Saccharomyces cerevisiae S288C: one gene and its partners. The gene in region 4 interacts genetically with the main gene of each other region. Each region holds a gene or a part of one and is shown on either strand. Other genes may lie near its edges. The genes, in order: DDC1, GET2, SML1 and MRC1.

Region 1 (6,552 bases), on a different chromosome or scaffold from region 4:
AATCACGAACGAAAAGTAAGAAAAAAGACGCTTCTGAAAGTAAAGTACAGAGAGAGAATAAGGGTTCATTTTACCAAGGTGCCATTTTCGGTTCGTTCCTTGGTGCTGCTGTAACTACTGTTTTAAGTAACCTAGCAGTTAAAGCTCTTCAAAATTAGTTTCATATACTCATGATTTCTAAACAGTAATTAGTTTTATCTGACTTATTTTTTTTTACGCACCTTTGCATGTACTCTTCCATGTATATCAATATTTGCTATTCTATTACTTATTTCTAGTAAAGTTGGCTCTACTCAGATTAGGTTTCCTGTTTTTGTAATTTGGTTTGTAATGATTTTTATTATTATCTTCAGAGCTCCCAAAAAGTACATCTTTTTCTTGTTGAGATAGCTCATATTCAAGTAATCCTACATCTCCCAATTCTCTTATAAAGTCCAAAAGTTGGGAGTTTTCGTTTGCGAATTCTCGCTGTATCAATTTCAAGTTCAAGTCAATCTTCGGATTTCCTCTCTGCACTTGATTTTGAATACTCTGTATAAATTGCTTTTCTTTCCTTGACTCTTTGAAAATGCTAGGTTGGCTCTTCAGTTCATCTTCCTTTATGCCCATTTCTTGCATATGTTTCTGTTTGTTATTGGATATTTTCAGTAGCCACATTTTTTTTCTTTCTTCTCTCCACTTTTTAACATCTTCATCAGTAATCAATGCTATGGAGGTTCCAGGAACCAAAACCACCTTACCCAACCCCTCTGATTCTAACTGCTCATCACGATCATCATCTTCTAGCCCTAAGTTATTATGATCATCTTCGGCATTAGAATTTGCCAGCTCGGGATCCTTTCTTGGGATTTCTGTAGGCTCCGCAGATGCTTGATCCTTGCTTGATGGTACTGGACTTATTTCATTCATAAACGTATCTTTCCCTCTGTTTTTCTCAATCAATTGTATTTCCTTTACGGTCGGTATTGCAACATCTTCATAACTAATTGATGTTTGGTAATCTTTATCATTCTTTAAGGCTTGAGTGTTTTCACAATATGATGATGGCCACTTCTGTAAATTAAGCGCTGGTGCATAAGATATATTCTGATGAACTGGCGGTATGTAATTTTCTGTATAATTGGGAGGACTCGTATAATTGTACTGAGTGGACGGTTGTATTGGATGGAAATATTGATTATGAGGGGCTACATGATGAAGTTGAGGAGTATAACCGGTATTCCATGAACCTTCATAATACGGAGAGTTCGGATACATATGAGGTGAGTAAGCTGCATTAAAAGCAGAGTCTGTTTTTTGCCTTTTAATTTTCGATTCATCATAGCCATCTGATAGCGTTCCGGAGTATGTAGGTTTGGGAAGCCTAGAATGTCCATCACCCTTCGAATTTTCAAAGTTATTATAATTCATAGTCCATGTCGCAATAAGCTAATCAAAATGGAAAAAGAGATTGACTTATGAGTTAAATATAATAGCATCAATGAAATTTTTAAGTTCCTATTAAGTAAAAAGCTATGCAATATAGAGATATTATGCTATTGAAAATTTTAGTTTGTTCCCCGACCGTGATGGACCATCAGCCGCACGCTCACCAAATTGAGACAGAAAAAAAAAAAAAAACAGCGATCGATATTATCATGATAATTGCTACTTCATCTAATATTTACACGCCTTTATACTGATTTTGCATTATGGTTTTAGTCAAATATACCCCTTGGCTTTTCTACTTGTGTTAGACCCAGCCCATCTTCCATCTCTTTATTGTCCTGTTTCTTGTGATTACTTGTGTCATTCTGGGAATTCAACAGACCTTGCATATGCTTCAATTTTTCTTTCTTGAGCATTCCTTTTCTATCGATATTGCTGCATGAAACCTCATCATCTGCAGCTGGTAACGCTTTTCCCCATGTCACAGTGGTGTCTGCCCTTTTTGCAAATGTAGATTGTTGGGTGGGGTCTTCAGTTTCATTACAAATATCTGCTATGGATCTTTTTAAAGAATTGCTCTCATTACGTGGACAGGCCACTTCATGAGTCGTACCAATGTCAAAACTTTGTTCCCGATTCATGTTCATATGAACTGAACTAGCCTGCCGGAACCGCTTATCTTGTTCGTAATTCGTACTTTGGCTTTGTTCTTCCACGAATAATTTTCTTGCCGTGTTATTTCTATAGGTCTTAGCAACTGTGCTTCCATTATCAGGGGTCAGATACGACACTTTCAAAGGACTGTTTCGAGTTCCAGCCACAGAGTGTGGCAGGTTTTCTCTCTTTAAAGCAGTTTTGCTTTTTAATGGACTTTCGCAGCTTTCTTTGTTGTCTTTCAGTCCGGCCTCTTCTTTGGAGCCAGAGATTGCTGTTTTTATGAATTTTCCTTCTAAAATATCATCGTTAATGTTACTGTCAGTAACTTCAACCAATTCTAATTTTACGCCCGGTTTTTGCATTTGCATAAGAATAGGGTCCCCTGGGTGGCAAAACCATAAACTTATATTATCATTTCCGTCCTGGGTAGTCTTCCAGGATGGACCTATCGTTATGAAGTTTTTGAAGTCCTTCAATTTGAATATTATACTTTTCATATGCTCTCTACGCTTACTATGTGATCGCTTATCTTGTTTTTCATCTTCGATTGTTGTAAATAAGCAATAATGCTCAAGATCGAGCGTACTGATAGTGTTACTCATGCTTAACGCATTTCTTAAAAGGTCGTTATTTTTGCCGTAGACGGCCTTGGTGAATGCAGTTATGCTTAGCCTATGTACGTTAATTTCCAATTTTACTTCATCGGTTACATTAACATTGCAGTTGTCTAAAAAATTCTTCAATAAAGTTGAATTACAACAAATGTAATTAATCTCATCAGCAGCCGTTAACTGATTCCTTTTACGTATGTCTGATTCCACTTCTTCGTTAAATAAGGCTGATGTTAGCTCACGCTCTGTATTTGTAAAAACGTCCAATAGCTTAGGGTCCAAGGGCTCCTGTGGATTCCGATCGGAGGCAGCAGTTCCAAAAACATCCAAAAACCTCCTTTTGTACTTAAGGTTGATTATTATGGGATCGTATTTTATTGGCTGGAATTGGGGACAGTATTCTTTGACTATTAACGAATCCATTTCAATCACCACAATCAATCTATTTGCAAGTGATTCAGGACAGGTAGAAGTGTTGTTTACCGCAATTGTGAATGATTTGATGCCATCACCATCCGGCTTTCTTGATATAGTTGTTAGGTGTCTTCCATTAACACGGAAGGAGTATAACTTATGACTATTGCCGTACGTATCTTCTATAACTTGAACCCCATTTTCTCCAAATACAATCTCATGTGGTTTAAACTCATACTCCTCAAAAAAGCTTTTCTGAAACCTAACCTGACAAAGAGTAGTATCTGTCTCGTTCATTGACCAAGCAATTAACTCATTTGTTGTCACTGTAATCTTGATATCATCCTGAATTGTAGATAACACATATATCGCACGAAACCAGATATTCTGCTTCCCCGACTCGGTGATAGTTGCCTTAAATGACATATATGTCTAAGCAAAGTTATGCTGTGTTATTGTTACACTAGCAATAGTATGTCAAATAATTTTGCAAATCATCTCTGGTCTATGATTACCTTTGGCGGCCTTTGATTCATTCGCGTCATTATTAAATATGCCGTCTCTTTCGGCAAATTGAGTGCACCGCAATAATATACTATGCAGAATAAAATACTTAAATTAATTATAGTTTACGTACGTAATCGCTGTCATTGAGAATTCACGACTTCGATTTTTTTATCGTTAAATGTCAGTGCTTTGGTCTCGAAGAAATTCATTTGGTTCTGGAGAATTTTTTGCTTTCGTTTTTAGTTTGTTTTTTGACTTTGACTTTTTCCCTTTCTTCTTCTTTTTTATAACTATAACTTCTTCAGTATCACTTAAATTATCCTTTTCATCTTTTACAATAAGATTGGCCTCTAAACGACTTAATTCTAACTCGTCTTCCTTTCTAAGGTTGCCCTCTTCCTGCGATCCTCTTCCTGCGTTACTCGATTGCCCAAAATTGGAAAAATCAAAATTTTCAAGTTGAGAGTGCATTCTCAGATTAATCTTGTCCTTTTTCAAAGGATTTTGAGTTGAATGATTATCATGGGGTTTCTGGAATGCATCTTTCCTTTTGGGAGCGGCTTCGATAACAGGTTCATCGGATAAGACTTGAACCCTATTTTTCTTCTTTCCCTTCTTCTTCTTTCTGCTGATTTCAGTTGTAGATAAACTTAGAGAATTCAACGAATTATCGGTTCTATTTAATCTAATAGTTTCTGGCTTTTTATCACTACTTTCCTCCTCATTCAAGTCCAACAAATCTTTAGAGTTCTTAGTTCTTTCTTCGTCTTCTTCACCTAGATAATAAGGATTTGACATCCGTTCCTTTTCTCTCTCAATCTCAAATGGATTTTCAAAATCATCCAATTTTTCCTTTTCTTCATACGAAGTATCAGAATCATCAACGAATTTTAGTTCAACTTGCTCGTCCATTGAGATATCAGACATTAAATCACTGATGGCGTCACTTTTTTGTTCATCTAAGAGTTCATCAGCTGCCTCCTTTGTCAAAAATGGAGTTTCTAGATCAAGATTCTCATCTACTGCTAACTTCAATTGAGTCCCACGCGCAATTGGTGCGAGTTCATAGGCGTTAAAAAAACTAGGCAGGACTTCGCTCAGTAGCATTGGTAGACCTTCCGTATCCTCCTCTAAAGCCTCCAAACTTAGTCTTAAAAATTCTAAAACTTCTACGCTTCTTTCCTGGACTTCGAATGTACTCGAATAAGATAAATTTTCAAAAAATTCAATTAGCTCTTTTAACACCATTTTAATTTCAAAGCGTTTATCCTCCTGAAAGTTATTACACCAATTACTAAATACTTTAACAAGTGCTAAAATTAAAACTTCTTGTACACTATGAGAATAATAACTGATATTCTCAGTCATGATTTTTATTAAGTCGTTACCATTTTCAACTAGGGTAGAAAATTCTCCGAGACACCAAATGCATTCTCTCAATACGGTAGGCAACTGTTTGTTAATATTGTCATTTGAAATAAGCTTTATAATATTAGCAATGGTTACTTCTCTCATTGAAGGAACTTTTATCATCAAATTCCTAAACTGTTCACCAATTTTTGATCCAAGGCTTTTATCAGATATGTCTTGACAGAGCATCGCCAAGTCCATTATTACTGCATTGTACCATTCAAAGTCGTTAACACTGGAATAGTTGTCAGCTGAACAAATCGATATAATGACGTTCACCATTTTTATCTTGTAATTTTCTGGAATTATTATGGGAATTCTCTTTGATTTTTCGTATACGATGCTTCCAGTTTGTAGGATAACCACATCTTCATCTACAAATTGCTTCATCAATGTTTGGACAATTGCCTTTAAGTTATCCTCATCAACAATACCTTCAACCAATTCAATTGCTTTTGATCTTATAGAAACGTCGACATCGGAGAGTAAGCGTATAATCAGTTGGTCGAACCGAGAAATAAAATCAGTATTGATTTTGCCGATCTTGTAAAACAATATGCAGCTAATATATCTCAAATTTGGATCCTGAGAATCACAAAATGTGTGCAATCTTTCCAGGCATGCCATTGCTGTTTCAAAATCATCTTCTTCTAGCATATTCCCCTTGACAATACAGTTGACAGATTCATAGATCACAGAAGTTGCAACAGTACTCTCCATCAGTTCTAAAATTTTCGGCAATAACTTGGCTCTCAATTTCGGTTCCACTTGTGATAAGTTGGTGAATAACTTCAATAATCTAATGATTATCCAGTTATTGTCAATGGTAACTAATATCTCGTATAATAAAGGTGAAAGCTGGATGAATGGTTGGGGGTTTTTTTTTGATAGCTCGCAAATAACACTGACAGCGGCAGAAACCACAGATATATCATCATCGTCTAGCTTTGAAACAAACTTATCAAAATTATCTCTCAAAGCCTCTGGATATTGCAGAAAAACTTTAAATAGTGCGGTAATGGCCTTCTTTCTTATGTACGGTCTTGTGCTGTTTAGCATAGTGAACAAATCATCAGCTATATCTCTTGCTAATGAGGGTGTAATTATAGTGGAAAGACCACTTAAAGCAATGCCAACTTTAACAACATCATTGTTTCCGTCATACTTTAAGTCTTTTTTCAACAAGTTAGTTGCAAGCATCAAAATGTCAGAATCTTTGTAAAAAGATTGTGATGCAGCCAAATACCCCACACGTTTTTGTTGAAGTTTATTACTGCTCATAACCTCTAAGATATGAAAGTTGCACCAAGCCATGTCAAAACCGTACATCTCTAAATAGGTCAATTTAAGAACGGCATTGGTCTTAGAATTTAGATCTGGAGAGTTCACTTCTTCCCGGCATTCACTTAATACTTGTTTAAAGAATTGATCCAGTTTTTCTGGTGTTTCGTTGTGAGACCTAATACCCTTAATCAAATCCTTTAGTGATTTCTCAAAGAAAAACCCAAAAGGACGTAACCTTTGC
Region 2 (7,664 bases), on a different chromosome or scaffold from region 4:
CATCGTATACAGAGGACCTTAAAACTAAACGGACGTAATCAGGGGTGTTATCAGTTTGCAGCTCATCCAATTTCAATTCAGAGTGTAGTTTTATCAAGGAAGGTGACAGGTGTTGTCTGTGCAAATGAGCCTTTAGTCTCAAAAGGTTCAATCCAGACACTTTGGACTGTTTACCTTGCCGAACAACCGTACATAATGGTTGCTTTAGTAGAGTAGCTGACATCACTAACTTTGTGTAATTGACTTAGTTTAAATGTGGCTTGTAGCACTCACACAAGAAAGAACTCAAAGCAGCAACAACAAAAGTTTTCAAAGCTGATAATGAAGTATCTGCAGACATATGTTTGAGATGACTCTTTTTCTTTGATATTTTTTTTTTCTTTTTATGCGATTCCAAATTTGCTACCCGCTGCGCTTTTTCTTTTTGCCCTTCTTATTTTTTCTTTTTCGCGTCAATTAAAATTGAACGTCACAAAATAGCAGAGATAATATGCAATAAAGAGAGAAGAGTTAAAGAGTCTTGGTAGTCAGGAAAAGGTTTTCATATTCATCAGACATAATGAATTTCAAGGAGCCGCTAGTGAATTTTTTAAAATGCGTCTTGAATAACATAAACTCGGCATTTTCGCATAGGATTGATCAATTGCAATTGCAGCTGTTGCGGGAAACAAATATCTTGAGGGTTTTGAACAGGGGAATAGAGAGACTGTTTAGCGAGAATCCAAGGACCCATTCTGTTTCCCGTATCGTGGTGGAAAAAGATGTGGGCTGCAGAATTGGACGATATGTGGAAGGTTCTAAATATGAACTGGTAGAGTCCAGGGCGAAAGAAATACAAATATATTATGAAAGGATGGTTTTTGAAATAACACAAGAATTGAAAGGGGACAAGCGGGTGTTTGCCTTGATTGCAAATCTTTCCCAAAGATATAGCGCAGAGAGGAAAGAAATACGAAATGTAAAGGTGCATGGTGGGCGGCCATGTAATGAGAACGAATTCCAGGTGATTCCGATAAGATTCAAACCTATTAATTTGGAAAGAAGAGCACGACTGATAAGAAAGAAGAAGACTATTAATTAAAAAACTTACATACAAATACATGCCTTACTTTCGATGCCAGCATCTGGAAAGGGAAAGGCAGGGGCAGAGGGACATATTACTTATCTATTTATGCATAATTTGTGTTATATATTGGTATGATAACTTGATGTTAGAGAATGTGCTATTCTGTTTCTTGAAAATCTGAGTTAAGGTTGATACCGCTTTGATACAGCGGGTGTGACAGGTTTATCTGTGACGGTGACAGGGGCAGTAGAACTACTGGAAGCCGCAAAGTCAGAGGATACTGTGAGTGGTGGTGCCCACAACGTGGATGGTCTCAGTTTGACCCTAGGACTTGCAGAAGATCCTGTGGGAAAATCCGGGGAAGGCGGATGGCTACTTGGGTTGAGCATTACTCTCTTTGTGAAAAGGGAGGGAGGGAGAAGTTTGGGGATGAGATGGTTGCTCTTATAACATAAGGTAAATAAAAATTTGGGGTGACCCCGCCGTGCGCGTTTGCTGGGACAAAAGAACAAGAATAGGAACATGAAAAGATTTGAATGATATGGATATGTACAAATGAGCTCTTCCATGTTTGTAGCATCAGCAACGTAGCTCTAGGAAATATGTCTGAATTAACAGAGGCGGAAAAGCGCAGGTTACTAAGGGAAAGGAGACAGAAGAAGTTTAGCAATGGAGGTGCCAGCTCCAGGCTTAATAAAATCACCGGGCAGGCAAGCAGTCATTTGAACGCAGAATCACCTTTAGACGCTCCTAGCGCTGCAAAGACCACACCACCTGCGAGTGTGCATTCGGCTACTCCAGATATCAAAGAAGATAGCAACGTAGCGCCCCAATTGGACCTATTGAAACAGCTCGCTGCCATGCAAGGCCAAGGTACGGGTAAAAGTACCCCTCAGGACTCCTCTACGCCCGATCTACTCTCACTACTAAGTTCTATGAACACTGGCATGCCCAGTGCAGAGGGTACACCATCGTTTGGTCAAGCGGCTCCTGCAGCCCCGATCAATCAAGCTGCTTTGGACTACCATGATTACTTGCTGAACAGACTGAAAGCCTGGACCATTCTTGTGAAGTGGGTCTTTTTCCTACTACCCTATCTATACCTAATCACAAGACCAAATTCCTCTGTGTGGCCGGCCTATGCATTTACTCAATCAGCTTGGTTTGCACCTTTGCGGAACCCATCGAATTTCACTAGAATTTTTGCCACGTTTGAGTTCCTTTCCATATCCATCTACTACCAGCTATTGAAGAATGTGGAACACAAGAGCAAGATTAAAAATTTACAAGATACCAATAAACTTGTCAAGTTAGTTTCACTGGTGCCCGAGGGAGTAATTCCCGTCGCCAACCTGAAGGGGAAGCTAATTACCCTTTTGCAATACTGGGATCTATTGTCCATGCTAATCACTGACATTTCGTTTGTGCTAATTGTCTTAGGCTTATTGACGTACTTATAAATTCTAGATAGTTCAGTAATATAATACATTGTTCTCATAACCCGACATTATTCCCGGCTTTCTTTTCAGGTAATTGAAAAAAAAAGAAAAACGGTAAGAAAATTTTCTAAGCGATGAGTTCGTGAAAAATCGATGTATAGAACTGAATTGGAGTTCAATAGTAAAAAAAAATCCATATATAGCATTAAAAACTCAGTATCCTAGCTTTAAGAAACTGAACCAGATTCCAACGACACAATGGGTCACAAGAAGAACGGTCACAGACGCCAGATAAAAGAAAGAGAAAACCAGAATAAATTTGAACGTTCCACATATACTAATAATGCTAAAAATAATCATACTCAAACAAAGGATAAAAAACTAAGAGCAGGCTTGAAAAAAATAGACGAGCAATATAAAAAGGCGGTATCTTCTGCTGCGGCAACAGATTACCTTTTACCCGAGTCCAATGGTTATTTGGAACCTGAGAATGAGCTAGAAAAGACTTTCAAAGTGCAACAATCGGAAATCAAATCGAGTGTGGATGTCAGTACTGCAAACAAAGCTTTGGATTTATCTTTGAAGGAATTCGGCCCTTATCATATAAAATATGCAAAAAACGGTACGCATCTTTTGATTACTGGCCGCAAAGGTCACGTAGCATCTATGGACTGGAGAAAGGGACAACTTCGTGCTGAGCTGTTTTTGAATGAAACCTGTCACTCAGCGACATATTTGCAAAACGAACAATACTTTGCTGTAGCGCAAAAAAAATATACATTTATTTATGATCACGAAGGTACAGAATTACATCGTTTGAAACAACATATTGAGGCAAGACATTTAGATTTTCTACCATATCATTACCTGCTCGTAACTGCCGGTGAGACAGGTTGGTTGAAGTACCACGATGTTTCCACTGGCCAGTTGGTCTCGGAATTGAGGACCAAAGCTGGGCCAACTATGGCAATGGCACAAAACCCATGGAATGCTGTGATGCATCTAGGTCATTCAAACGGTACAGTATCCCTCTGGTCACCATCCATGCCTGAACCATTAGTAAAATTACTTTCTGCCAGAGGACCAGTGAACAGCATTGCTATCGATAGAAGCGGGTATTACATGGCAACCACAGGGGCTGATAGGTCGATGAAAATTTGGGATATCAGAAACTTCAAGCAACTACATTCTGTGGAAAGCTTACCGACGCCAGGAACAAACGTTTCCATTTCAGATACTGGTCTATTGGCATTATCTAGGGGCCCTCACGTTACGTTGTGGAAGGACGCTTTAAAATTAAGTGGAGACAGTAAACCGTGCTTCGGGTCCATGGGAGGGAACCCACATAGAAACACCCCTTACATGTCACATTTGTTTGCCGGAAACAAAGTAGAAAATTTGGGATTCGTACCATTTGAAGATTTACTAGGTGTAGGCCATCAAACGGGTATTACGAATTTGATTGTACCTGGTGCAGGTGAAGCCAATTACGATGCCTTAGAATTAAACCCATTCGAAACCAAAAAACAAAGACAGGAACAGGAAGTCAGAACCCTATTGAACAAACTGCCAGCAGATACAATTACTTTAGATCCGAATTCCATCGGTTCAGTGGATAAAAGGTCTTCTACCATAAGGTTAAACGCTAAGGATTTGGCGCAAACTACAATGGATGCTAATAATAAAGCCAAAACCAACAGCGACATTCCAGATGTAAAACCTGATGTGAAAGGTAAGAATTCGGGTTTGCGTTCCTTTTTGCGTAAAAAGACTCAAAACGTTATTGATGAAAGAAAATTAAGAGTACAGAAACAACTGGATAAGGAGAAAAATATTCGTAAAAGAAACCACCAAATCAAACAAGGCCTAATTTCAGAAGACCACAAGGATGTCATCGAAGAGGCATTGAGCAGATTCGGCTAAATCGAAATATCTTTAAAAAAAAAACTTAAATGATTATGTATGTATATATAAAATAGATAATCATTATTATTGCCTCAAGCATTCTTCTATCCATTTTTTTTTTGGTTCTTTTTAATATTTTATAGGAAACTTTTAATCATGTTCAAAAAGTTGACAGTATGAGAATCGATTGCATATTAATATAGCAATCTAATTGAGATCTTAGCAGAGGTTTGATTTAGTTGTTCATAAATATCTTTAATATCGCTTTGGTCAACAGAAGAGATATCAGCCATTAAATAAGCAATTTCACCATTTGAATCGGAAAATTGCTTTTCGATGTTATGGTTCGATAAAATATCATTGACGGTCTTCAAAACACCTGGTACATTTTGGTGAATGTATAACACACGCACAGTGTTCTCTTGGTCGTAAGACAATGATTTCAATGCCACTTCTGGGAAGTTGACTGAACCGACAGAGTTACCTTCATTGATGTATTTGGACAATGCGGTAGCCACTTCAATACCGATTGAGCTTTGGGCTTCTTCGGTAGAGCCACCAATGTGTGGTGTCAAGATGATATTTGGTAATGAAACTAATTCAGAAGTCCAGCTATTTAGCTCATCGTTAAATGAACCTTCACCGTTCTTAGCTGGTTCATGTGGATAAACATCCAAAGCAGCACCTGCAATTTTGTTGGCTTTCACGGCTTGGATCAAAGATGGAATGTCCACGACAGTACCTCTTGAAGCATTAATAACATAAGCGCCATCCTTCATAGCAGCAAATTGTGGGGCAGATAACATTTTTTCAGTTTCAGGAGTAGCTGGTACATGTAGTGTCACAAAATCAGATTTATTCAACAATTCATCTAATGTAGAAACTTGTCTGGCAGTACCCAAGGCCATGATAGTTACAATATCGTAGTACAACACATGCAAACCCATAGCTTCTGCAAGAACTGATAATTGGGAACCAATGTGACCGTACCCAATAATACCAAGAGTTTTTCCTCTTACCTCCCAACATCTAGCAGCAACCTTATTCCATGTACCGGTATGTAATTCGATAGATCTATCACCTAGTTGTCTTGCTAAACTAATGATTTCAGCGATGACCAATTCTGCTACTGATCTTGAGTTGGAGAAAGGCGAGTTGAAAACAGCAATACCTCTGCTGGTAGCGTAGTCTAAGTCAACTTGGTTGGTACCGATACAGAAACAACCAATACAAACCAGATTCTTCGCATGTTGTAAGACATTTGAAGTTAATCTAGTCTTTGATCTGATACCAATAGCATGAACGTCCTTGATCTTTTCGATCAACTCTTCCTCGGGCAATGAAGATTTATAGAATTCGACTTGGTAACCTTGCTCTTCGAAGATTGTAATAGCAGTTTGATTAACGTTTTCTAATAGTAAAATCTTCATATCACCCGTTGAGAAAGGCTTCAAAATTTTTGGGTGCTTTACAGCATTCAAGCGCTGTGGAACGGTATTCATGAAAGATTGCGTAGGTGAAGTACAAACAGCGCCTGGGGAGCCGCTCATATTCATAGCTTGTTGAAAGGTATTTTGTAAGTTGTTAATGTCAATGCTTGTCATTGCTGTCGATTTTTCTGTGGTTCTTTATAGAGTTCTGTATTTTTACTAAGATAGTTGACAAGTATCAAAAAGTGAAATAACTAGAAATGGTTCTTCCTTTATATACATAACAGTTTTAAGAATTTCCTTATCCTCTGCTCCCTCCTTCCAACAAAGTAATTACTCATAACTTGGATATTTGTCTGATTTTTTCATCCCGCTCAGAAAACCCTGCACGGGCAGCGTTGCATTTTCTTAATTTTTTTCTCGTGGTAGAAGTCAAGGACAATAAATTGCGAAATTAGGTGGGAACGAGAAGAATAATTAAAGTGCTGAGACCGAAGTTGTTCCCCTTGAATTCCATTTGTGAGTAAATATCGAAAATGGGTCCACAAAAAAAATTAGGTTTTTCTAAAATATTAGGTCCAGCCTAACTGCTTAACCAAATTTTTAATTTGTGATATTTGCACATAGCTTGGCCAAACAAAGGCATTACTCGATTGTGAGTAAAAAACTAAAACAATGTAGATAATCAGGATTAAACAATGGCATTTCTATGGATTTGTTGTTCTCTTTATATATTTGAGGAAAATTCAAAGATAATGGGGAGAAAGGTGGAGATGTATCTCCACCTATCGTAAATTTGAAAGTTCCGCTTTTCCGCCAATTGCACCCAAACATCACGCAACGCTTTTTAAAACGTTATCAATATATCCAATCCAGCATTGTTAAGTTGATTAGTAAATGGAAGAGATTCCATTGTGTACAAAAAAGGGTTTTAACTTGATTATTTTGTTATAACGTTCTATACAGTTGAATGAGGTAAAGAAAACAAAAAAATATTTCATTTTTAGTATAGATTATTTGGTAGCTTCAGGTTGCTTCACGGTGTAGTCTCCGTTCTCTTGCTTAACAATACTGCCGGAATTTAATAGTTGATCAAACATATCTTGAGGAATCCACCCTTGAGTGGCAGCAAATGGTGTAGAGATTAGCTTTTCGTGTAATTTTTGCAAATCCTCAACATGTCTTTCAATATCTTCTTTACTATAGTTTAGAGGAAACTTTTTCTGATTCACTAACTCATTCTGGGCAAAGATGTCCCAAACTTCCTTCAATTGCAATAGTGATTCATCAATAAGTAAATACTCTTCTTCCGTTTTTCTTTCGACAGCTGCAATATATGGGCTTCTCAGTAGCTTAACAGGTGGGGCAACTGCAGTAATTAATTTAGGATTATTGTCATTTAATTTTTTCTCCCATTGATGTTGATTACGGGTGCGCTTGTACATGAACTGATATTGCACCTTTTCCGCCTCAGATAATTTGTCAAAATCGGTTATGTCCTCCTTTAAGTCATAAATCTTGGGCCCATCATAGGCGATGAATTGTGGCGAATTCTGTAAAATGAAAGGTTTTGTGCATGCTCCTTCAAAATCTAATAGATAGGCTTCTTGTGCTTCTTTGTTAACAATAATATTCATGGGGTCTAGATCAGGATGAAACAAACGTGGTGACAATAGTTCCTGCATATTTGGAATGGCCTTTGTTTTGACGTTGAATAAATCCGGGGCAATCTTAGCTAAATTTTCATAGGTAGTTATTTGCTCCTTCAAAGTTCGAGGATACATCAATTCAGCTGAACTTCCTGCCTCTTTCATGGCTATTCTA
Region 3 (6,956 bases), on a different chromosome or scaffold from region 4:
ATAAAAACTCAGGAACTTGAGAATTCAAAGTGGTTTCTTGTGAACCAGGTATATATGGCATCTTGTCGTCGTCAATAAGCCCTTGCAAAAAGATACGACCATAGTCTACACCCACATGATAAATTTCTTCGAACTTGCTAAAGTCTAATGTGGCATATTCTTCAATAGGTGGTCTCACATAAACGACACCTGGTGTATTTTTCGCTTTCTCTAAAGCATTTACTGATGCGACGTAACCCAATCTAACTTGAATCTCTGCCATATTGGGTATGTTTGGATGAGAAGAAAATGGATTCCATCTATTGAAAATGATCCAAAACCCATTTAGGGAGTCACCATATTCCATAGGCGTTCTATCATCTGCAGAACCTACATCTACTGCAAATATAGTTTGGCAACCACGCGCTCTCATCTCAGTTACTGGTAAATTATCAACATAACCACCATCCAGTAACATAGACCCGTTCTCTTCCAAAGGAGGTAAAAGACCAGCAAGAGACATCGAAGCTCTGATGTACCTCCACGCATAACCAAAGGAATGTATTTCTTGAACCGAATCGGTTATATTAGTAGAATTACAATAATACTGGATCCAGAAGTCTTCAATTCTTGTATCCCCGAAAGTTTTCCAAATACCTCTATTAAATTCGTGACCAGTAGTATAAGAAGTAACCGGCCAGGTTAAATCTGTTAACATTCTCCATATAGAGGAAATTCGACCAGCAAACTTCTTCACGCGGCCGTAAATTGGCACCAAATCATAATCCTTCGCGTACAAACCGCCAACAAAGGAACCAATCGATGTTCCTCCAATAACGTCGACCGGAATACCTTGTTCTTCAATAGCTTGAATGACACCCAAATGACTAATACCTCTCGCACCTCCTCCTCCGAGGACAAGTCCAATAGCTTGTCCAGAAAGAATTCTAGCCAATCTTAGAAAATCATTTTTATGCCTATGAACTGGTGTGTAATATTGTCTTTTACTTTTCATGAATCTTGAAGAAAAGTTTTCTACGGTGTTCTTGATAGAATCTGGAAGTAGTTTTGATATATTCTGTTGAGTTTTTCTACTGAATTCTGTTTGAATCAACTTATCCATTAATGCCAAGGCACCATTATTCAAAACGTGCATTTTGCCTTCGTTCATCAAGGTTGTTCCTGTCAAACTAAATTGAATGTGATGATGCGAATGAACCCATGGCCTATAGCGTAACCACTTATGGGTTAGTCCTGGTTCCACATACCTTTCAGGGTGTAGAAGAATTAACTCGGTCCTTGCGGTAGTCTTTGAATTTAGTAATAACTTTTCATATTCTCCTATTTCGGCTGATGGAGATCTAGCATCTGCTAGTAAGAGAATACAATCACCTTGCGCAATACAGGTTCTTGTCCAATTAGATTTAACTGGTGTATCTGATATATAAACAACAGTCTGGTACATTTCTTCTAGTTCAGCAAAGTAACCACTTTGTTTTAATTTGGACAATCTGTCAAATGCATGACGACCTAAATGTGTTAGGGTAGTTCTTTGATTTAAACCAATCGTGGTCCTTCCTACCTGTTTGAAAGCTTGCACTAACTTCATAGCAAATGCTTCTACAGGTAGTCCACTGGTAATTGGTAAGATAGTGATGGTTCTAAAAGTAATTGTGCCAGAAGTAATATTTTGGGGTTTATGACTTAAAGAGCTAGAGTAAGACGCTTTCGTTGGAGGTATTAAAGAAGTGAAGTCGTTTTCCTTTATAGATAATGGATCGCCTGTTAATGCTGGAACAGTTCTATCTCCGACAATTTTTTTAGCAACTAATCTGGAAACTCTAATCATGATAGATGGATGTTCAAGAGCTAATAGTTCGAATAATGTTCTCGGAATTCTCGCTAATTCAGAATCCCTCACTGCCACTATCGTTGAATATCTATTCATAGCGGTAAGCACTTCAACTTCACCAAAACTCTCCCCCTGGGCCAGTTCTCCTAGAATAATGTTCTGAGTTTCAACTTCTTCGGAACTTGTATTGGAGTTTGACAATGACTGCTGTTGTAGCTGCCTTAGTCTACCATTCAGGACAACATAAATACCGTTAGCCGAGTCACCTTGTGAAAATAGAGTTTCAGAAGCCCTCAAGTGAACCCATTCTAAAGCATGGTCGAGCTTTAATAACCTTGAAGATAGCAATTTGGTTAATGAATCAGAAATCCGTAAGTAGATTAGGAAATATTTATCAAACAATCTTTCTAAGGTTGCACTAGATAAAAATCCAACATAGACATCGCTCTTGGCAACGATATTAACAAATGATTTGTAACCAATTAGAGAGGACAAGTAGCCCACAATACCACCAGATCCTACAGAGTATAACAAATGTTGAGTATGATGAGGATTTTCACCCTTGTGTGAACTTTGGGCTGAAACCTGCTCTGGTTTAGACATTGATGATACTACTGACGAGGACGAATTTGTTGTCACATTAACTTTCCCGGAAATGATATAGAATAGGCCTTTACCACGAGCGTTCTGCTCAACAATTGTGGTGCCCTTTTTAAAGAACTTCAACTGAATGCCTTGTGCAAAGTCTTTCTTGACATCTTCGAAATCCAAATTGGGTGTCAACTCCTCTTTGTAAGCTCTAGGTTTTTTTTTGTCCTGGCTTTTACTTTTATTATGCCTTTTATTGCTGATAGTGTATTCTTTGGGTAGGATTCTTAACATTGTCGGTTGAGTTTGAGGAGAGGCAAATGATGAAGCTACGGAAATGTCAGATGGTGTACAGTGAGGGGACATCAGAAAACTTGCGTTACTTGGACGGCGGCTATACATTTCATTAAGTTGAGGAGAGTTTAAAGAAGACATATTTGCTATCGAAGAAGATGAAACGGACATATTGCTTTTGTTTACACCCAAGTATGTTAACATTGCCTCAACTAAAGCCATTCTTAAAGCAGAGTCCTCGGTTTCTTCCTGGGCAGCAGAAAAGGATGTTGTGGGCAGTAAATTAGGTCTTGGAGAGACCCGTCCCTTCAAATGAACGGGACTTGGGTGGATATGGTCATGAACAGAAGTATTATCCAAGGACAAGGGCGATGTACTAAGTTGTGCGTTGCGCAATTCTGGGGACAAAGAAGAAAACTTCTTAGAGTGTACGGAAGCATTGTTACTGCTACTCCTAGAAGATCGCTTATGTTGGTTAGAGGTAGAAGTGTTAATACCGTTTGATTTATTGCGGTTGTTATTATGGATTGGGTTGGGTGACAGAATATCCATAGTTCTAGACAGTGGGACATTTGACAGTAAATCACCAGGATTAAATTGGTCTCTTGAACCCAGTACGACATGTCTCGAACTTGGATGGTGGGTGAATTCTGGTTTCAGTGAAAGGGAATTCGAACTTGTGTTAGCGTTGGCGTTAGCAATCTTAAGCGATTGAATGATACCATCAGATGGCTTCGCTTTGGGCGGTTTCTTCAATTTAGAGGAAGCATTACTATTTTTGGGTTTCGGTTCTAAATCAGCCGATCCGCTCGACTTATCTACAGTTTTAAACTTACGAATAACGGCCTCTTTCAAATAATAAGGCAATTCATAAACGATGGATTTATTTAGTAAAACTTCGATATCCATGATCTCCTTTGTTAAACCTAAGTAGTCGTGAGCAGTTTGGAACGTAACATGGTATAGCTTGGTGAGAACCATCTGTATGATATGGGAAGCAGACCGTGGGTATTTTGCGGTTAATTTGGCAAACGATTGAGGTGGGATAATACCAATTGTGCAGTCTGTAGCCGCACGGGCGACAAGTTTAGGCATTGAAGAGGGGAACGTTGGAAAGCTGTTGGTGGAGTTTGTCATGGAATCTGTGTTGGAGAAGTTCTGCTCTGATGAGCAGAACATATTGTTGACCGACACCGTTGTGTCTATAGGTGACGATAACTCAGAGGGAAAGTTACTGTTGCCATACGAGGACATGGAATGCGTGAATAAGTTTAAAATGCTCACGAGGGAGGTCAGCGGGTTTCCTGGCTTGACTGTATTTAGCAGTTGAAAATTTCCCAGTCCATTTTTCAGATGAATGTAACCAACGGATTCATCTTCTTCATCGATGAGGTTAGAAGAACAAGATTTGGTGTCGTAGTTATCAATGTCATCATCTTCTTCTTCGTCTTCTTCATCTCTATCCTGGTCGTCAAGACCATCCGTGTCACTGTGGTCAGTTTCATCGCCATGGTCCTTATCTGAATGATCTACTTCATGATATAACTGCAGGGTGCCTTCAACGACGATGGCAAACCCAATAGTACTGTCCAACAGTAAAATCTCACCCTCATCCATTTTTTGAGTTTTCATATTCTTGGTCAGGTCATGGAAGACTGGTTTTTCCAGATAGCCAAAGATTTTGATGGCGCTGAGAAATTGGTCAAGGTAAGATGAAAGAAAGGTTTCGTTTTCGTTGCCATCTTTCAATGAATGCTTTTTTGAGTCTATAATCGAGCTTGCACCCGTGGTAGAGGAACCTATGGCGGGTGGCGCGTTGGCTGACTGAGTGGAAGCTGCATTGATATTGGCGCTGGAGCCAGATTTACCTGTATTTTCCAGCGGCAAGAACTCCGGGGTCAGCCTCTTGTACTGGGATAGAATTCTCTCCTTCATGATGGTGTAAGTCACAAAGACTATGACGGCTAGGGCAAACAGGATCAGCCAAAAGGAAAGAGTGAACTGAACATGGTGTAACTTGAAGAAGATCCACTTCGGAATCCTTAAAAGCGATAAAGTTGCCAGATACCAACCGTACCTGAAGATCATACGAGAGGCACCCATAACAAAGTAGGACACAACCCACGAGAAGTTGAAGAGGGATGAAAGTGACCACGTCTGCGCCTCAGAAATAATCTGGTCGGTGAGACATGTCTGGAATCTATAAGAAGTATAATTACTGGAATTAAAGCTGGAGCCAAGACTGTTTTTCGTGTTTTGGCCGGTATTGTTGGTGTTGTTCGTAGTGCAATTCATTGAACGCATGCAAAAACTAGAGCCAAGCCTTTCTATTCTTTTCTTGTTTATTTTATATTCGTTAGAGTTTTGTGGTGTTTCTTTAACTTAATAAACTTTCGAGAAAAGTGTCAAGTTTCCCAGATTTTTAAGATCCTTATAACCTGTAAAAAAAAAAAAAAAAAAAAAAAAGAAGGGTTTAAATAAAAATCGGACTTACTCAAAGGGTTGAAAAGCACTTTAATATAGGTTTTTAGTTTCGGGTAAGAAGATGTGTCAAAGGTCTCGAAAAGGAAACATTAGGGCAAATACGTAAAGGTTGCCTTCGTATCTCGTTTCCACAGCAACGAGAAACGAGATACGAAGGCAACTGATTCCCAGCATATAAAAGGCCATGAATTTTTGGCGTTTCCTATTGTCTTTTCGAAACTATTTCTTTCATTCCTTTCCTTTCTTGTTCTTTTACTTATAAGAAAAATAATATACGTATATATATAACTACAAACCACATCAGCAATAAAAAAAAACTATATGACCATGGACCAAGGCCTTAACCCAAAGCAATTCTTCCTTGACGATGTCGTCCTACAAGACACTTTGTGCTCAATGAGCAACCGTGTCAACAAGAGTGTCAAGACCGGCTACTTATTCCCCAAGGATCACGTTCCTTCTGCCAACATCATTGCCGTCGAACGTCGCGGCGGTCTTTCTGACATTGGTAAGAATACTTCCAACTAAGAGCATGCTTCTCTTTTTTTTTGTAGGCCAATGATAGGAAAGAACAATAGATTATAAATACGTCAGAATATAGTAGATATGTTTTTATGTTTAGACCTCGTACATAGGAATAATTGACGTTTTTTTTTGGCCAACATTTGAAATTTTTTTTTGTTACCTCGCGCTGAGCCCAAACGGGCTCCACTACCCGCCGCGGTCGCCATTTTGGGAAGTCATCCGTCCCAAAAAGGAAATAGCCATAACATATCGTTACTGTTTTGGAACATCGCCCGTTTCGCCCGATTCCGCCTCAGCGGGTATAAAAAGAGATCTTTTTTTTTCCTGGCTGTCCCTTCCCATTTTTAAATGTCTTATCTGCTCCTTTGTGATCTTACGGTCTCACTAACCTCTCTTCAACTGCTCAATAATTTCCCGCTATGCAAAATTCCCAAGACTACTTTTACGCTCAAAATCGCTGCCAACAACAACAAGCCCCTTCCACATTGCGTACCGTGACCATGGCGGAATTTAGAAGGGTGCCTTTGCCACCTATGGCTGAGGTTCCTATGTTGTCTACTCAAAACTCCATGGGCAGCTCCGCTTCTGCCTCCGCTTCTTCATTAGAAATGTGGGAAAAGGATTTGGAGGAGAGACTCAACTCTATCGATCATGACATGAACAACAACAAATTTGGTTCTGGCGAACTAAAATCTATGTTCAACCAGGGTAAGGTCGAGGAAATGGACTTCTAAAGTTCCTTTCATACTCTTTTCTTTTCTCTTTCCATTTCCCACTAGTTCTGTTCTTTTCTTCTCTTAGATACCCTTCTTTTCAGGGACTCTCGTCCTACTATTGTTGTCATTCTCGAAACATTCTCTCCCGTGCATTTTCCTTTCCCTTTATATACATATATATATATATATATATATATGTCTCTTCTACGTATTTTTGTATTTCTGTGTCTTTATCAAAGATAGTCTATAATACGTTTGATACAGCTAGATATCGCTAGCGCCAACATTGTCCCCCTCTCTTGATCAATGCTTTTTTTCGGCCCGAGACAAATGAGAAAATGTCCTAAAAATACCTTTCATCAAGACTCCTATTTTTCCTTAGAAAAAACATATATCCAACTGGAACAGTATTAAGCCAATTGCTACGATACAAACAAAAGGAGATATTCCTTCCCTCCCATAGAGTCACACAGGAGCCAGTACTTCTTCTTGAACCCGCAATGTCTTCAGACGCTATA
Region 4 (8,240 bases):
TCCTTTTCCTGGTCCTTGATCAGCTCCTCGGCTTTCAAAGTAGTCTCAGCTTTCAGTTTAGCTGGCTCTTGTGTACTTGCCTCCCGCAGCAGCGTCGGTATCATTGTTTCACTACTTTTGTTTAACTTTTCCACTTGTAACTTTGTTCTCTTCCTTTCAGCGGTGCTGATCGACCTCTTTTTTTGTACTTTCTTGCCAACACCAACATTCTTGCCCACACCTTTCTTTTTCATGCTACACTTGCCCATTTTTTCCTTGCTAAATGCCCTTGAGTTATTGTACCTTATTATAGCAGGCTTGCACATCTGAAAACGAAAATTTTTTTTTCCTTATATTTCTAATTCTTTTAGCGATGAGATATGAAAATTTTCAAAAAAAAGAGATGATGAGGTTAACTATTGTAAAGTAGACAGCAAACAAAAGGGTCACACAAATATCCAAATTGGCAAACGATGGTGTCTACACATAACAGAGATAAACCTTGGGATACGGATGATATTGATAAATGGAAGATAGAGGAGTTTAAGGAAGAGGATAACGCATCCGGTCAACCTTTTGCTGAAGAGTCCAGTTTTATGACTTTGTTTCCTAAATACAGAGAAAGTTACTTGAAGACGATTTGGAATGATGTAACAAGGGCTCTAGACAAACACAACATAGCGTGTGTTCTAGATTTAGTCGAAGGTTCTATGACAGTAAAAACAACTAGAAAAACATACGATCCCGCTATCATTTTGAAAGCCAGAGATTTGATCAAATTATTGGCGAGATCCGTTCCTTTCCCGCAAGCCGTTAAGATCCTACAAGATGACATGGCATGCGACGTTATTAAAATTGGTAATTTCGTTACTAACAAAGAAAGGTTTGTCAAGAGAAGACAACGTCTTGTAGGCCCTAACGGTAATACTTTAAAGGCTTTGGAACTTCTAACTAAATGTTACATTCTAGTACAAGGTAACACAGTAAGTGCCATGGGTCCCTTCAAGGGCTTGAAGGAGGTCCGTCGAGTAGTAGAAGATTGTATGAAAAATATTCACCCTATCTATCATATCAAGGAATTAATGATAAAAAGAGAATTGGCAAAAAGGCCAGAGTTAGCCAATGAAGATTGGTCAAGATTCTTGCCCATGTTTAAGAAGAGGAATGTGGCCAGAAAGAAACCCAAGAAGATCAGAAACGTCGAAAAGAAGGTCTATACTCCATTTCCTCCTGCCCAATTGCCTAGAAAGGTTGATTTGGAAATTGAAAGTGGTGAGTATTTCTTAAGCAAGAGAGAAAAGCAAATGAAGAAATTAAATGAGCAAAAGGAAAAGCAAATGGAAAGAGAAATCGAAAGGCAGGAAGAGAGAGCAAAAGATTTCATAGCTCCGGAAGAAGAAGCATACAAGCCAAACCAAAATTAGTTTACACCGCTACGGAATCCTTCATATATGTCTATATATATATAGAAACACACACACATTTCGTTTACTTAGATATGTTTGTAAAGTGAAAGAAATTCTTACTAGGACACCAACTCTACTGGCTCTCATATGCAGAGAGATATACATCAATACTTGAAATTTTCCTTATCCTTCTTCGACGCGTCATGAAGAGATAGAATGCGTAAAACGCGTTTGCTTCAATAGCATTTCAAACACATTATGTTGGAAAAAAACCAAGAACAGACAAACAACTAAGGAAGTTCGTTATTCGCTTTTGAACTTATCACCAAATATTTTAGTGATGGATGATGCCTTGCATGCTTTGTCCTCGTTGACTGCAAAGAAGAGAACTACCACCTACAAAAAAGTTGCTGTTCCCATACTAGATGAGAACGATAATACTAATGGAAATGGGCCCAATGACATAGACAATCCGCCAGAGTTGACTGGGAACGGGTTTTTATTTGCCAATGCCACATTAAATCGTGTTAAGAACAGATTAGAAGGCAAGAAAGCACCCGAACAGAATCACAATAATGGAAAAGATAGGAGTGAGAATTCGTTACCAACTCAATTAATCTCTAATCTTTACGATGGTGGTGAAGAGCTGGAGAAATCCGAAGTTAAAGATAATAGTTACAGTGAGAAAAATGTCTCTTCTTCATTCACGCAGACGCAAAGAATACCTGTCAGCATCCAACAAGACAAGGTGTTTAACGTACCTATCCATTCCGTTAATGACGGGAAACCCACCCAATTAATCAAAGAAGATGGTCTCGTCAACGAAACTTCTCAAGCGCTGAAAACACCTCTCACGACAGGACGGCCAGGGGCTACACAGCGTATAGATAGCAGCGGTGCAACCTCACAAACTCAGCCTATAAAATCAATTGAACCACAATCCCAAATAATTACGACTTCCAGCAATCATTCTAATGCTCTGTCGCCGAAAATTCCTATAATTCCAACGGAACTTATTGGAACTAGTCCTTTATTTCAGTCCATTCAAAATCGTGGTCCTGACACCCAAATGGATGTACCACCACAGACTGCGCATGATGAGGATAAGACACAAGCAATTGGTATTCCACAGGCTACGCATCAGGAACAGAAAACCCAAATAGATACAGTCGCACAAACACTTCAAGATGAAGTACCACACACATTAAAAATTCGGGAAATACAAAGCGAATTGGCTTCAGAAGATTCTAAAAGGGAAAAAGCTAGAAATGTCGAATACAAAAAACCGCAAAAGCCAATACCAACCAAAAAATTTTTTTCTAAAGAGTCTTTTCTTGCTGATTTTGACGATTCGTCCTCAAATGAGGACGATGATATAAAGCTGGAAAATGCACATCCAAAACCAGTACAGAATGACGATGAACTGCATGAGAACAAAAGTGTTGAATTAAATCTAACTGATGAGACAAGAATAAATGAGAAAAGGGTTCCACTATTGAGCTCCTATGCTAATAATTTGAAACGGGAAATTGACTCCTCGAAATGCATAACACTGGACCTCGACAGCGACAGTGACGAATATGGAGATGATGATATGGATAGCATTAAATTATCCAAAGATGAAAGCGTTTTGCCAATCTCTCAGTTATCAAAGGCGACTATATTAAACCTGAAGGCAAGACTCTCTAAACAAAATCAAAAGTTGTCTCAAAGGCCGAATAAAAGTAAAGACCCAAAAGTTGATCATAATGTACTATTAAATACCTTAAGGAAAGCTAGCAGGAAACAAATTCTGGATCATCAGAAAGAAGTGATTGAAACGAAAGGTCTGAAGCTGGAGGATATGGCCAAAGAAAAGGAAATAGTAGAGAACTTGCTAGAACAAGAAATTCTTAGAAATAAAAGAATCAGACAAAAAGAGAAGAGAAGGGAAAAACTTGAAGAAAATGACTTTCAATTGAACGCCCATGATTCCGGTTCTGACTCAGGGTCAGAGTCTTCTGGATTTGCATTGAGTGGTAATGAAATTGCCGATTATGAATCATCTGGTAGTGAAAATGACAATCGTAGAGAATCCGATAGTGAAAAGGAAGATGATGAAATTATTCTAAAGCAAAAAAAATCCCACCACGTGAAACATATCATTAACGAATCAGACTCTGATACCGAAGTCGAAGCCAAACCCAAAGAGAAAGCTGATGAAAGTCTACCGAAAAGGATCGCCATTAATCTGGGCCATTACGGTGATAATATCGGAGAGGATACCGACAAATTTCAAGAAACCAATGTTCTAGATACACAAAACATTGAAGAGGTGATGGCCGAAAGAAATACAATCGAAAATGAAGTCAAAGATGATGTATACGTCAATGAAGAAGCTGATGAAGCAATTCGCCGTCAGCTGATTGACAAAGAGAAATTGCAACTAAAACAGAAAGAAAAGGAGCACGAGGCTAAGATAAAAGAGTTGAAGAAAAGAGGTGTCACAAACTTCTTTGAAATGGAAGCCGAAGAATCCGAGGATGAATGGCATGGTATCGGTGGTGCAGATGGAGAAGGATCTGACGACTATGATTCTGACCTAGAAAAAATGATCGATGATTATTCCAAGAACAATTTCAATCCTCATGAAATCAGAGAAATGCTTGCCGCAGAAAATAAGGAAATGGATATCAAAATGATAAACAAAATTCTTTATGACATTAAAAATGGAGGATTTCGTAATAAAAGAGCAAAAAATAGCTTAGAGCTAGAACTAAGTGATGATGATGAAGACGACGTACTACAACAATATCGTCTCAAAAGGAGAGAATTGATGAGAAAAAGGAGATTAGAAATTGGCGATGATGCAAAGCTTGTTAAAAACCCAAAGTCGAGCGCATTTTTTGAAAGTATGGTGGAAGATATTATCGAATATAAAAACCCCTTCGGGGCTGAAGAGGAATATAACCTAGACATTACAAGTACGGCTACTGACCTAGATACTCAGGACAATAGCATTAATGTAGGTGATAATACGGGAAATAATGAACAGAAACCTGTAGATCAAAAGAACAAAAAGGTTATCATATCTGAAGACTTTGTGCAGAAAAGCTTATCCTTCCTAAAAAGTAATAATTATGAGGATTTTGAAACGGATAAGGAGCTATCAAGGATACAACATGGCAATGATGAAGCAATTGAAGATTTATATACCCTAAAACAGAATAGTTCGATAAAGTCATTCACAAATTCTCAAACTGATTCGACCACTTCAAAAACAGTAAACACAATAATTGACTTAGAAAAGCGCCCAGAGGATGAAGATGAGGTGGAAAATGGAGATACATCACTAGTTGGCGTTTTCAAACATCCATCAATAATCAAATCCTTTGCGTCCAGAACAGACATAAATGATAAGTTTAAAGAAGGTAACAAGACAGTCAAGATTCTAAAGTCTTACAAGACAGTGGGGAGTTCAAAAGCTTCTATCACATATATGGGGAAAACGAGAAAATTAATAGCACCAAAGAGGAAAACTGAAGGGAGCCACCGCTACCACCATGACCATCATAATAAAAAAATGAAAATGAAAACGAAAACAAAATCGAATAAACTTTTTGAAAGCGGACAAGATAGCTTTGATAATTAGTGGTTTTTTATCTTTTCCGAAGAAGTTGATTGAACTCCAGAAGCTGTCTTGAAGTAGTCGCATTAAAAAAGATGGCACCCGAGTCTAGGCCAAGCCATAGTCATGTTATGATAGGATTTTATAAGACAAATATTATAAAGAAGTTTAATAATAATACAAAAAGATACAAAAAAACTTGAAGATATTCTGAATAAAAAAAAAAAGAATAAACATTTGGAGCAAAAGAAGAGTAGGTTAGGTAAAGGAGGCATTAATTAAAACAGCAGTTCTGTATTCAAAGCATCTTGCAATTCTTCTATAGAGACGCTTATATCCATATTATTTTTTTGTTCCTGTGCTACATTATGATTTGATATTCGTTCTTCATTCATGCCCTTATTCTTTCTCCCCCTCTTACTTTGAAAAGATTCTGATATTGTGCTTAACGATGAATTAAACTTATCCATAAAAGATGCATGCTTAAGATTTGTGTTGTTCTCTTTTACCGTATGTGTATCTGATCGTGCAATGAATGATGATAACAACGCCTTAGAACTTGAAATACGAGGACCATTACGACTAGGAGCCATTGTCGCTGCAACAGTTGGATGACAGTTCACTTGGACATTTGATATCGAAGTTCCAAACGTCGGATTAGATGGCCTGAAGAATGAGGCGGAGAAACTTCCCAGATTGAGCGACTTAGAAGGTGCTGGTTTGTTAGATAGTATACTTTCGTGAGAGTTATATCTCCTTAAAGGTTCGAATTCAGCACCCTTTGCGGTCACACCAACATGTGGAGGGGTACTTATGTTTGGTAGAATGATAGTATCTTGATCAGAATCAAAATCTTCATCATCCATTTCATCAAAGAAGGTCAACGAAAGTCTTTGTCTATTTTTGAAGAAAGACTCATACGTATCCGAGGAAGACGGTTTCTTACTTTTGTTCAAGCCAGTATCATGTGATTTGGCTGCACGTAAAGTGCGATTTCTTGCAGGTTGTTTTTTAGGTGAGCACGGTAAAGAGTTAGTTTTCGAAGGACAATCGACTTCATTGATGGGGTTAAAGCCTACCGATTTTTTTGGTGGTTTCGATGGAGTTACCATACACAGACGTTGCCTCTCAATTATTTTCAATGGTCGAGGTTGAAATGACCCTAAACTACTTCTGGTGGATTGCGATTGTGGAGAATCATTAGGCGCTTCATTTGGGACGGTGGCCAGCTCGTTCAACCTCAAAGTGATATCCTGGAATTCACGAACCAAGTCTTCTATGCGTTGATGCTCATTATCCTCTGTGATCAATCTGCGTTGTTGTTCCTTGCTCAACTTGTCTCGAACAGATTCCGATCTAACATACAAAGAGTTCAGTTGAGACATATACTGGTTGTACTGTTGGGATAACTTATCCAATGACTCTTGATCTGTTGTCTGGCATATTGATGATCTCTGCTGACGTTGTATCCACAGATCTAATTGCAAGATAGCCTCTTGCGACCTTATTAAAAGCCTCTCCGTGATATCCTCTAGGGCTTGGGTTGCCATTAATCGATGTGTCCTTGTTTCCTTATGCGAGCTGTTTCTTATCTATCTTATGGTCCCATTCTTTACTGCACTGTTTACATTTTGATCAATTGCGAAATGTTCCTACTATTTTTCTTTTTCTCTTTTCGCGAGTACTAATCACCGCGAACGGAAACTAATGAGTCCTCTGCGCGGAGACATGATTCCGCATGGGCGGCTCCTGTTAAGCCCCAGCGGAAATGTAATTCCACTGAGTGTCATTAAATAGTGCCAAAGCTTTATCAAATTGTTTGCGATGAGATAAGATAAAAGGGACAATATGAGGAGGAACACAGGTATATAAATATCGCCAAATAAAAGGAAAATGTTTATACAGTTTTCTCTTTTTTAAGTGCTGGATAGACAAGAGACAGGAAAATTAACCAGCGAGATGTCGATAGTCTACAATAAAACACCATTATTACGTCAATTCTTCCCCGGAAAGGCTTCTGCACAATTTTTCTTGAAATATGAATGCCTTCAACCAAGTGGCTCCTTCAAAAGTAGAGGAATCGGTAATCTCATCATGAAAAGTGCCATTCGAATTCAAAAGGACGGTAAAAGATCTCCTCAGGTTTTCGCTAGTTCTGGCGGTAATGCCGGTTTTGCTGCTGCAACAGCATGTCAAAGACTGTCTCTACCATGTACAGTCGTGGTTCCTACAGCGACAAAGAAGAGAATGGTAGATAAAATCAGGAACACCGGTGCCCAGGTTATCGTGAGTGGTGCCTACTGGAAAGAAGCAGATACTTTTTTAAAAACAAATGTCATGAATAAAATAGACTCTCAGGTCATTGAGCCCATTTATGTTCATCCCTTCGATAATCCGGATATTTGGGAAGGACATTCATCTATGATAGATGAAATAGTACAAGATTTGAAATCGCAACATATTTCCGTGAATAAGGTTAAAGGCATAGTATGCAGCGTTGGTGGAGGTGGTTTATACAATGGTATTATTCAAGGTTTGGAAAGGTATGGTTTAGCTGATAGGATCCCTATTGTGGGGGTGGAAACGAATGGATGTCATGTTTTCAATACTTCTTTGAAAATAGGCCAACCAGTTCAATTCAAGAAGATAACAAGTATTGCTACTTCTCTAGGAACGGCCGTGATCTCTAATCAAACTTTCGAATACGCTCGCAAATACAACACCAGATCCGTTGTAATAGAGGACAAAGATGTTATTGAAACCTGTCTTAAATATACACATCAATTCAATATGGTGATTGAACCGGCATGTGGCGCCGCATTGCATTTGGGTTACAACACTAAGATCCTAGAAAATGCACTGGGCTCAAAATTAGCTGCGGATGACATTGTGATAATTATTGCTTGTGGCGGCTCCTCTAATACTATAAAGGACTTGGAAGAAGCGTTGGATAGCATGAGAAAAAAAGACACTCCTGTAATAGAAGTCGCTGACAATTTCATATTTCCAGAAAAAAATATTGTGAATTTAAAAAGTGCTTGAAAATCCAATAACTTTTTCGTTGAAGCATCAATTTGCCCTTGATAATTTTCATACATGTACTACATACATTTTACTCATATATCACTATTTTGCTAGTATTGATTTTTTCCAGAAGTATTAGTGTAAGATTTCTCGAAGTAAGCATCAACATATCCAAAACGTTGACATATTTCTAGGCCGGCAATGCACAGAATTTGTATAAAGGG

Evidence for each region.
Region 1: mutations in MRC1 (region 4) and DDC1 together harm fitness more than expected from each alone (negative genetic interaction), as found in Saccharomyces cerevisiae (9 studies listed by BioGRID, with this or other methods).
Region 2: mutations in MRC1 (region 4) and GET2 together harm fitness more than expected from each alone (negative genetic interaction), as found in Saccharomyces cerevisiae (6 studies listed by BioGRID, with this or other methods).
Region 3: of MRC1 (region 4) and SML1, a mutation in one rescues a mutant of the other (synthetic rescue), as found in Saccharomyces cerevisiae (7 studies listed by BioGRID, with this or other methods).

What each region holds. Positions count from the first base shown.
Region 1 is NC_001148.4:176,261-182,812, reverse strand, and holds DDC1 (Ddc1p), read right to left. Parts: upstream 3,537-6,552; coding exon 1,698-3,536; downstream 1-1,697. Other genes in the region: pheromone-regulated protein PRM3, read left to right, coding at 1-158; RSA1 (Rsa1p), read right to left, coding at 265-1,410; APL5 (Apl5p), read right to left, coding at 3,792-6,552. UniProt on the Saccharomyces cerevisiae protein: Component of the checkpoint clamp complex involved in the surveillance mechanism that allows the DNA repair pathways to act to restore the integrity of the DNA prior to DNA synthesis or separation of the replicated chromosomes.
Region 2 is NC_001137.3:321,036-328,699, reverse strand, and holds GET2 (GET complex subunit GET2), read left to right. Parts: upstream 1-1,668; coding exon 1,669-2,526; downstream 2,527-7,664. Other genes in the region: threonine ammonia-lyase ILV1, read right to left, coding at 1-223; YER085C (uncharacterized protein), read left to right, coding at 560-1,081; YER084W (uncharacterized protein), read right to left, coding at 1,249-1,635; UTP7 (Utp7p), read left to right, coding at 2,764-4,428; phosphoglycerate dehydrogenase SER3, read right to left, coding at 4,605-6,014; AIM9 (Aim9p), read right to left, coding at 6,854-7,664. UniProt on the Saccharomyces cerevisiae protein: Required for the post-translational delivery of tail-anchored (TA) proteins to the endoplasmic reticulum.
Region 3 is NC_001145.3:153,242-160,197, forward strand, and holds SML1 (ribonucleotide reductase inhibiting protein SML1), read left to right. Parts: upstream 1-6,141; coding exon 6,142-6,456; downstream 6,457-6,956. Other genes in the region: NTE1 (lysophospholipase), read right to left, coding at 1-5,017; HUG1 (Hug1p), read left to right, coding at 5,519-5,725; CMP2 (calcineurin catalytic subunit A), read left to right, coding at 6,939-6,956. UniProt on the Saccharomyces cerevisiae protein: Strong inhibitor of ribonucleotide reductase (RNR1) and is involved in regulating dNTP production.
Region 4 is NC_001135.5:15,592-23,831, reverse strand, and holds MRC1 (chromatin-modulating protein MRC1), read left to right. Parts: upstream 1-1,725; coding exon 1,726-5,016; downstream 5,017-8,240. Other genes in the region: ADF1 (Adf1p), read right to left, coding at 1-248; FYV5 (Fyv5p), read left to right, coding at 1-309; ribosome biosynthesis protein KRR1, read left to right, coding at 453-1,403; VAC17 (Vac17p), read right to left, coding at 5,271-6,542; L-serine/L-threonine ammonia-lyase CHA1, read left to right, coding at 6,952-8,034. UniProt on the Saccharomyces cerevisiae protein: Required for normal DNA replication. Phosphorylated in response to DNA replication stress. Phosphorylation allows it to mediate the activation of RAD53.